2 linked regions of the Nothobranchius furzeri genome follow. The protein of the gene in region 2 purifies or fractionates together with the protein of the main gene of each other region. This does not show direct contact. Links are inferred from orthologs where the notes say so. Each region holds a gene or a part of one and is shown on either strand. Other genes may lie near its edges.

Region 1 (4,344 bases), on a different chromosome or scaffold from region 2:
CTGAAAATTTTGGAATAGCCCGTTCACATACACAGTGTTTAAAAGTGTGGGTGTTGAGATTTCTCCGAGGTAAAAAAGATGACAAGTATTAAAGTACTCTAGGGGAGTCCTGCGGCACGCCCCCCCCCCCCCCCCCCCCCCCCCCGGAAAAAAAAATTATTGGACATTTTATATTTAAACGCATCAGTCTGGTGCATTTTTGGGGGAAAAGTAGAGTTACAGGCTGTTAGGTATGTATGATAAAGTGTCTATACATGTTCATTATAATGATATATTTGAGTTAACAATGTTTTCCTGTTCTTTCTAAATCCATTATGAACACAGACTACAGTGAAATCCGCTGATGCATCATGCTGCTCAGTACCAGAACTGCACACCAGAAGAACCAATCAGCTGGCAAAGCTCCATGTTGAACGTGTGAGTTGCAGGGCTTTAGGCCCAGGGCAGAGTTTTATACCTCAGACCAGCTTTAGATCATGACCTGTTATTAATAATATGTTCTTTACACCAGTCTGAATATTCTGTAATGTTCACAGACATCCAAACCTTAGAAATGAAATAGTTATCTGTTATACTTATTTACATTTGATAGTAATATGATTAATAATATTTAATCTTATCTTCTATCATTTGTGGGTTTAGTGCATTCACTTAATATTAATTATAAAATTATAAAAACAGGTCACTACAGTCTGGGCATAGAAAGTGTTTCTAGGAACTAACGCTTGTTCAGCAGCTCGCCTGTTCCACTGACAAGAGAAATCCTCTCATCAGCAGGTGATCAGCAGAGTGTCATGACTGAACACAGGCCCGAAAAAACAAAGACGACTAAAAACACAGACCACAGATCGGCCCACCGGGAATTTGGGTCCTGGTTCTGCTCATCATGTTGGCTCTGTTAGAATCCCAGCGCCTGGTGCGAGTGCAGTTTGTGTTTGTGCGCACCGAGGGAGCGAGCAATGAGCGTGCGCGTTTTTGCAGCTTAGGCAGCGCAGAACGGTGGAGAAACGCGTTTCAACAACACCGGTGTGCGTTTCAATTAGCAAGAGGAGAGCGCTAGAGAGAGAGAGAGAGAGCGACACTACAAAACCCAAGTGAGCACGAGAAGACTTTGACAGAACTTTTTTCTGATTATTCCAACTGACGGATTTCCGTCGCCACGACGGAGAACTTTGATCCCTGGTTTATAATAATAATAACATATTATATTACAATACAATATCTTTAAATATCAAATGCCAAATAATAATAATAATAATACATCAAACTTATATAGCGCTTGTTTAGGACACTCAAAGATGCTTGCATGCACTCTCACATTCACACACTGCCAATGATGGTAAGCTACTTTGTAGCCACAGCCACCCTGGGGAGGTCTGACAGAGGCGAGGCTTCCATTTGGCGCCGTCTGCCCCTCCGACCACCACCAACACAGGCAAGTTGGGTGAAGTGTCTTGCCCAAGGACACAACAGCAGAATACCCCTGCAAGAGCTGACCCTCCGATCATGAGGCAACCCGCTCTACCTCCTGAGCTACTGCTGCCCTGAAATGAATACTTGTCATTTATTGACTGAACTTAACTGAAAAACTCAGACTAGATGCCTCCAAGTGTGTCAACTGTTATTGCAAGATTTTGTTGCTCTGTCAGAGTGAAGGCGGTAAAAACTGCTGCCACCTAGCAGTTGGGGTTTGACTAGCACCACACAAATGAGCTATAGTATAAGTTTCATTGAAAATTCTCAATAAAAATTTGATACACTACTTTTAAATATTGATTCAGTATCATTACACAAAATTTCAATGTATTGATAGTTCCTTACATTCCTTCTTATATTAATGTAATATCAATAAATATTGGTTATCGGGTATAACAGTGATAATATCGGATATCGATATCACCCCACATTTTCAAATCAGTGCATCCCTAGTTTTAATGCAGATAATGATCAAATTATAAACTGCTGAGAAAAATAACATTTTTAGTATTTCTAATAAACATTTTAGAACGCACTGACAGAAAACAAACATTTATTGGATATAAAAATGCTGTTTCTTGTAGGTTTGTAATAAAAAAAAATTACATTTCTGCTTTCTAGAATAACTTTTTCTCTTCCAGGATTCTTCATATTCTAGAGCCAATTTGAGTTTGCAGGTCAGATCTGAGACTAGGACACAAAACGGTATTTAAGAACAAAAACATGAAGAACTAATAAACAAATGTGTTACTTGTGTTATCTACAATGTACTTGGATCTTTCCACGTGTTTAAACGATTTAAGAACGAGGCTCAATTATCAAACACTGTTCAAAAATAATAAATCTATTAAATATGCAGAACTAGTCACTAGTACCAGCAGCTGACAGCTCTGATTTATCTTTGCAGACGGTTGTTTTAAGCTGTAGCTGTTTTTCTAAACGAAGTTTGTTTCCAAAAAATGTCCTGTTAATTATAACCTTAATCCCACAGCTGCATACATAGTTAATAACATTTGAATAAGTGAAATTATGTAAGTCGTTTAGCAAATGCAAATGGCATTCAGGAGCTAGCATGATAGCTAATTACCCAATATCTACGTTGTCAAGCTACTTCTAGTTAATCATTCAAATGTCTGATTTGTGGAATAACTGTACAACTATCGGCCTTATATAATGTTAAATATGGTAGTTTATAAAGTGTGCGTGGCATTTATTAACCAACACATGGCTCCAGGCTCATTGCGCATACAGGCCCGTTAGCATCAACGCTAGCTCTGCTAATCCACTCTGCACAAACGCCAGGACCACAGTGACTCACGGCCTGGCCACGCGAACGAAATATCACAGACAACTGTAAAAAGCAAATGCATTTCTATTCGTACCTGTTTTATTGTCCACCAACACAAATAAACGGGGTTTCGTCAGCAAAGAGCTAACGTTGCAGCGTAGCGAACTCACGCCTCCTTGTCGCTTTCCCTCTCTCTCTCTTTTCCCCCGTGTGCAGATACGCAGTACCAGCAACGACCACCGGGGGCGCTGTAGATAAACACAAAACTATGAATCTGCAAAGTGTTTAACTTAAATATACATATAAAATAAAAGATGCGTTAGATAAATAATGCCTTATGTGGAGATCAGTGCACCATATTAAACTGAGAAAGCTAACTAATTGTATGAGTATAAATGCTAGTACTACACAAGCACTGATAAATAACTTCCAGTTTACTAGTAATACGGTAATAATTCAAATGACATTAGTTGTTAACAAGTTTACTCCAGACTTGAAAATAATCGCTAAATTATTCAGACCCATAAAAAAAACAATAAACTTATAATGGGGCTATATATGGGCTATTTTTATGTGTTTTCTGTCTCATGATCATGATTAAAGTTATTATTCAGATCATTTTTAGGCTTATTTTCGCTTTAAAGGTTTTGGTTATAAAAATGAACACAGTCAACATTCAAACCATCGGAATTTGAATGATGTAACACTTCAAACCCTCATATCATCACAATATTCTGTGCAATATGAATAGAATCTATGTCCACATACCTGCAACATGATATTTTGTTCACATGTTTTGATATATTACTTTTAATGTATGTACTCACTTGTTTTTAAGATGTATGAACAGAGCTGTTGATGATCTTTGTACAATAACGTTTTGTAACAAAGATCAAAGCTTCACCGAGAGTGCCATATGTTGTCGTGGCCACTAGATGTCTCTGTAAGACAGCTGATGAATCTGCCATCAGACCAAAAACAGGGTGTGGAGAGAGTAAAACAGCAAATGGAGCAGTTTTAAGCTTCTGTCTGTTTTAAATATTGACACATACAAATATAACTTATAAGCTTCATTACGTGAACATAGGAAGCTCTAAATACATCACTTACAACAGCTGGAATAAAAAAGGTTAAAATGATACTAAAAGGATTTTGGACTCAGAGGCACCTCTTGACCTAATGCAAACCTTCTAATCTACAGGCTGGGTTCTGACTTCCTGTGGTACACAGCAGGTAAGAAGAGCATTTAGCACTCACCATATCTGTACATACATGTGTGCTTAAACTCTGTTTCCTACATTTCCTCCTGTCCAGCACGGTGACAGGAAGCCTGTGTTAGTTTCTAGTCTGCCTCTGTTTTCTGGGGACAAAGGTCATATTTGCCACATTCATTTGAAAATTAAACGTCTCTGCTGTTGCCGACTCTCACTTTTTGTTTTCACACACATTCTCTTATAATCCAAGCAGCACTTGTGCAGAGCTGACTGGAAAATTTACAATAAGCACAATATTTAAAATGTACGATAAGCTTAAGTTAATCAGAAGTACTGGGATGTCTCAGAGACAAATAAATAAATAAA
Region 2 (4,401 bases):
GTGAAAGAGTATGCTATTTTATTCTGGAGTTAACCACATATAAACAACTACCATGTAAATACAGACTTGACCCTTTTTTTAGAGAAGCTTGTTTTAATACAACTTAATGATTTTATCAACCGCCAACATGTCCTAGAGAAATTTTAGTCTGGTTTTAGGGTGAACCACAGCACTGAGACGGCCCTTCTGAAGATTAGAACAATTTATGATGCCCAGAGGGCAACAGTGTTGGTTCTGCAGGATCTAAGCGCGCCGTTGATACAGTAGACCACACTATTCTTTTAACCCGTTTAAAACAGATCGGCCTCTCTGGTGTTGTTCACAGTTGGTTCACTTCCTACCTCACAGACAGGACTTTTATGGTGAGTTTGGATAGCTGTTCCTCTGGGGTCCACAGCATCACATGTGGTGTGCCTCAGGGTTCAATTCTAGGCCCCACAATGCGGGTCGGAACAACCAAAACAAACATGGCTTCAATAGAAGAGATCAGTTTGCTCATTTTAATTCATTTTGAGATGAAAAAAGACAACAGCTGTATTGTAGACTGTGTGAAAGACCTCTGAACCAGTGACTGGAGAGGGTGTCTCGCTCATTTTGTCAACTCGGGCTACTGGTTGCTCCAATATTGCAGCGTGCACACACATCACATTAATTTTGGAGGATGCGCACAAACGACTGTTCAAATCAATGCAAGTTACGCGATGCAAACAAAACATGCATACGCATTGTTAAAAAGCACGCATTTCCCAGGCTTAAGAGGACACAGCATTTCTTTTGTTTTACTCTAATATCAGGTAAAGAAGGCTAGCAGCTAACGTTGAGCTAAAAGTGCTAATACTGAATTAGATAAAATTGTCAACTCAAGCAAAATCTCAAGCTACTTTTTCAATTACCACATGTATTTATGTACATGTCAACTTACTGTGTATGGCTCGTCTTCGTTTGTCATCCAGAATCTTCTGGCGCTGATCTGTGGCCGGTGCTGATCCTTTGTTCAATATTACTTAATTTTTACTAAGAATTATGTTGTACAAACATGATACATATGTATATTGTAGAACGTGAAAATTAATTTGTTACAACAATATAGTAATCATGTTAAAAATTTATATTTCTATCATTTAATTTTTTTAGCCTGACAACTTTGTGAAGCTGTAGAAAGCCACTGATGTCATAGTTTTATGTAGTTTAAAACAGAAATCTTTGAGTCCCGTGTCACTTAAAAGCATTGTATGTGGGTTTAAGTTGTTAGGAAATTATTATTATATTATTAATATTAATATTATTATTATTCGTGATTTTGTTGCTAAAATTTTCTACTTCAAACCAACAAAACAAACTAAAATAAATTAAGTTGTTTGACCGGAACGCTGCACCTGTCCATTTTTACCGCCAGGAGGCACCATTTGTTTATGAAAACTCTGGTTTCCAAGCGACATCAAAACATTAAAAAGCTGACTGTTGCTGGCTTTCTCTTTAGCTCGATAGAGGGAATTTCATTTTCTTGGATAGTCAATCTGATATTAATTGAGTTTTAAAACAAGCAGTTGTGTTTTAATTTTAGGCAGCGGAACTGTTTATTTAGTTTCAATCGGAATCAGAAAATCAGGGAACACCGGAAACACACTTTTGAACGGAGAGTTCGCGAGCTCGACATGTTCAAGAACACATTTCAAAGTGGATTTCTGTCCATCCTTTATAGTATCGGCAGCAAACCGCTTCAAATATGGGACAAGAAGGTAAAAATCGATGTAGAGTCACAAATGTGACATCAGGAGTAGCTAGTTAGCCGCTCGTGTTTAAGCTAACAGCCGTTGTGTGTGCATTTTTAGCGCTCGGCTCAGCTGTTACGCTCAGTTTTCCCCCAAATTCAGTTTGAAATATTTGGTTCTGTGATGATTTTTTACATCCACAGGTCAGGAATGGCCACATAAAGAGGGTGACTGATAACGACATACACTCCTATGTGTTGGAAATCGAAGGAGCAAACGTGAGGTGTGTGATCCCGGATTGGCTCTGTTCACCTCAGATGTTTGTTGTCCTCAGAGAGGACATCAGTAGGTTAAATGTACACTTGATTAATTTATTTAGTGCAGCTGTTTATATTTAGCTTTGGCGTGTATTCAAAGTGCCAACTTTGACGAAGTCTGGGATGTTAGTTGGGATTTAAAGAACACAGGTTATTTTCCCCCAGTTATTGATCCATCTTAGCGTTTTTATTCATTTATTTTTGGTAGGAAGTTCATCAGGGGTCAAATCTGAGCCTATCAAATCAGTTCCCTCCATTTATTAAAAGGATACTTTGCAACTTGTTCATATTTTAATTATTTTCTTGATCCAGTATGTGCTAAAATGACCCTTTACAGGGTTAATAAAAAGTCACTCAGACCCCACCGACTCCTGTGGCCAGAATGTCACAAATGCAACTTTAGACCAGCTGGCCGCCATTTGTGACTTGAGGGACCACTAAAGCGTGTTTATTTTATAGGCCTATCGATATGGTTTTTTAAACGCCGATACCGATTTCTAAAGAATTTTGTTGCAGATGGCCGATTATTAAGGCAGATATTAATTATATATATATATATATATATATATATACACACACACAGGTGCTGGCCAGTAAATTAGAATATCATCAAAAGGTTGAAAATATTTCAGTAATTCCATTCAAAACGTGAAACTTGTACATTATATTCATGCAATGCACACAGACCAATGTATTTCCGATGTTTATTACGTTTAATTTTGATATTTATAGGTGACAACCAATGAAAACATCAAATCTGGTATCTCAGAAAATTAGAATATTCTAAAGGCCAATGAAAAAATGTTTGTTTCTCTAATGTTGGCCAACTGAAAAGAATGAACATGAAAAGAATGTGCATGTATAGCACTCAATACTTAGTCGGGGCTCCTTTTGCCTCAATAACTGCAGTAATGCGGCGTGGCATGGACTCGATCAGTCTGTGGCACTGCTCAGGTGTTATGAGAGCCCAGGTTGCTCTGATAGTAGTCTTCAGCTCCTCTGCATTGTTGGGTCTAGCGTATTGCATCCTCCGCTTCACAATACCCCATAGATTTTCTATGGGGTTAAGGTCAGGCGAGTTTGCGGGCCAATCAAGGACAGGGATACCATGGTCCTTGAACCAGGTGCTGGTGGTTTTGGCACTGTGTGCAGGTGCCAAGTCCTGTTGAAAGGTGAAGTCTGCATCCCCATAAAGTTGGTCAGCAGCAGGAAGCATGAAGTGCTCTAAAACTTCCTGGTAGACGGCTGCATTGACCCTGGACCTCAGGAAACAGAGTGGGCCAACACCGGCGGATGACATGGCACCCCACACCATCACTGACGGTGGAAACTTTACACTGGACCTCATGCAACGTGGATTCTGTGCTTCTCCGCTCTTCCTCCAGACTCTGGGTCCTTGATTTCCAAAGGAAATGCAGAACTTGCTTTCATCAGAAAACATAACTTTGGACCACTCAGCATCAGTCCAGTCCTTTTTGTCCTTGGCCCAGGCGAGACGCTTCTTGCGCTGTTTCTTGTTCAAGAGTGGCTTGACACACGGAATGCGACACCTGAATCCCATGTCTGTCATGAGTCTCCTCGTGGTGGTTCTTGAAGCGCTGACTCCAGCTGCAGTCCACTCTTTGTGGATCTCCCCCACATTTTTGAATGGGTTTGTCGTCACAATTCTCTGCAGGGTGCGGTTATCCCTAGAGCTTGTACACTTTTTTCTACCACATTTTTTCCGTCCCTTCGCCTGTCTGTTAATGTGCTTGGACACAGAGCTCTGCGAACAGCCAGCTTCTTTAGCAATCACCTTTTGTGTCTTGCCCTCCTTGTGCAAGGTGTCAATGATTGTCTTTTGGACAGCTGTTAAGTCAGAAGTCTTCCCCATGATTGTGGTGCCTTCAAAACAAGACTGAGGGACCTTTTAAAGGCCTTTGCAGGTGTTTTGAGTAAATCAGCTGATTAGAGTGGCAGCAGGTGTCTTCTATATTCAGCCTTTTCAGAATATTCTAATTTTTTGAGATACCAAATTTGGAGTTTTCATTAGTTGTCACTTATGAATATCAAATTTAAATGTAATGAACATTGGAAATACATTGGTCTGTGTGCATTGCATGAATATAATGTACAAGTTTCACGTTTTGAATGGAATTACTGAAATATTTTCAACCTTTTGATGATATTCTAATTTACTGGCCAGCACCTGTATATATATATATATATATATATATATATATATATATATATATATATGTGTGTGTGTATATATATGTGTGTGTGTGTATGTTTTAGCAGCACATCGATTGTGAAAGACAACTGAACACTCACTGTGTGCAATATAAATGAATTAAGTCAATAAATCTAATGTTTATTGAACTTCAAATATA

What was found.
Region 1: the proteins of cfap20 (region 2) and clasrp purify together in Homo sapiens (affinity purification with mass spectrometry; 3 studies listed by BioGRID and IntAct, counting the BioPlex papers as one, with this or other methods). This does not show direct contact. The link is inferred for Nothobranchius furzeri from reciprocal best matches to the Homo sapiens genes CFAP20 and CLASRP.

Annotation. Positions count from the first base shown.
Region 1 is NC_091753.1:42,038,393-42,042,736, forward strand, and holds the start of clasrp (CLK4-associating serine/arginine rich protein), read right to left. Parts: upstream 3,011-4,344; 5' UTR 2,859-3,010; intron 1-2,858. UniProt on the Homo sapiens protein: Probably functions as an alternative splicing regulator. May regulate the mRNA splicing of genes such as CLK1. May act by regulating members of the CLK kinase family.
Region 2 is NC_091759.1:5,022,959-5,027,359, reverse strand, and holds the start of cfap20 (cilia- and flagella-associated protein 20), read left to right. Parts: upstream 1-1,574; 5' UTR 1,575-1,655; coding exon 1,656-1,739; intron 1,740-1,915; coding exon 1,916-1,995; intron 1,996-4,401. UniProt on the Homo sapiens protein: Cilium- and flagellum-specific protein that plays a role in axonemal structure organization and motility. Microtubule inner protein (MIP) part of the dynein-decorated doublet microtubules (DMTs) in cilia axoneme, which is required for motile cilia beating.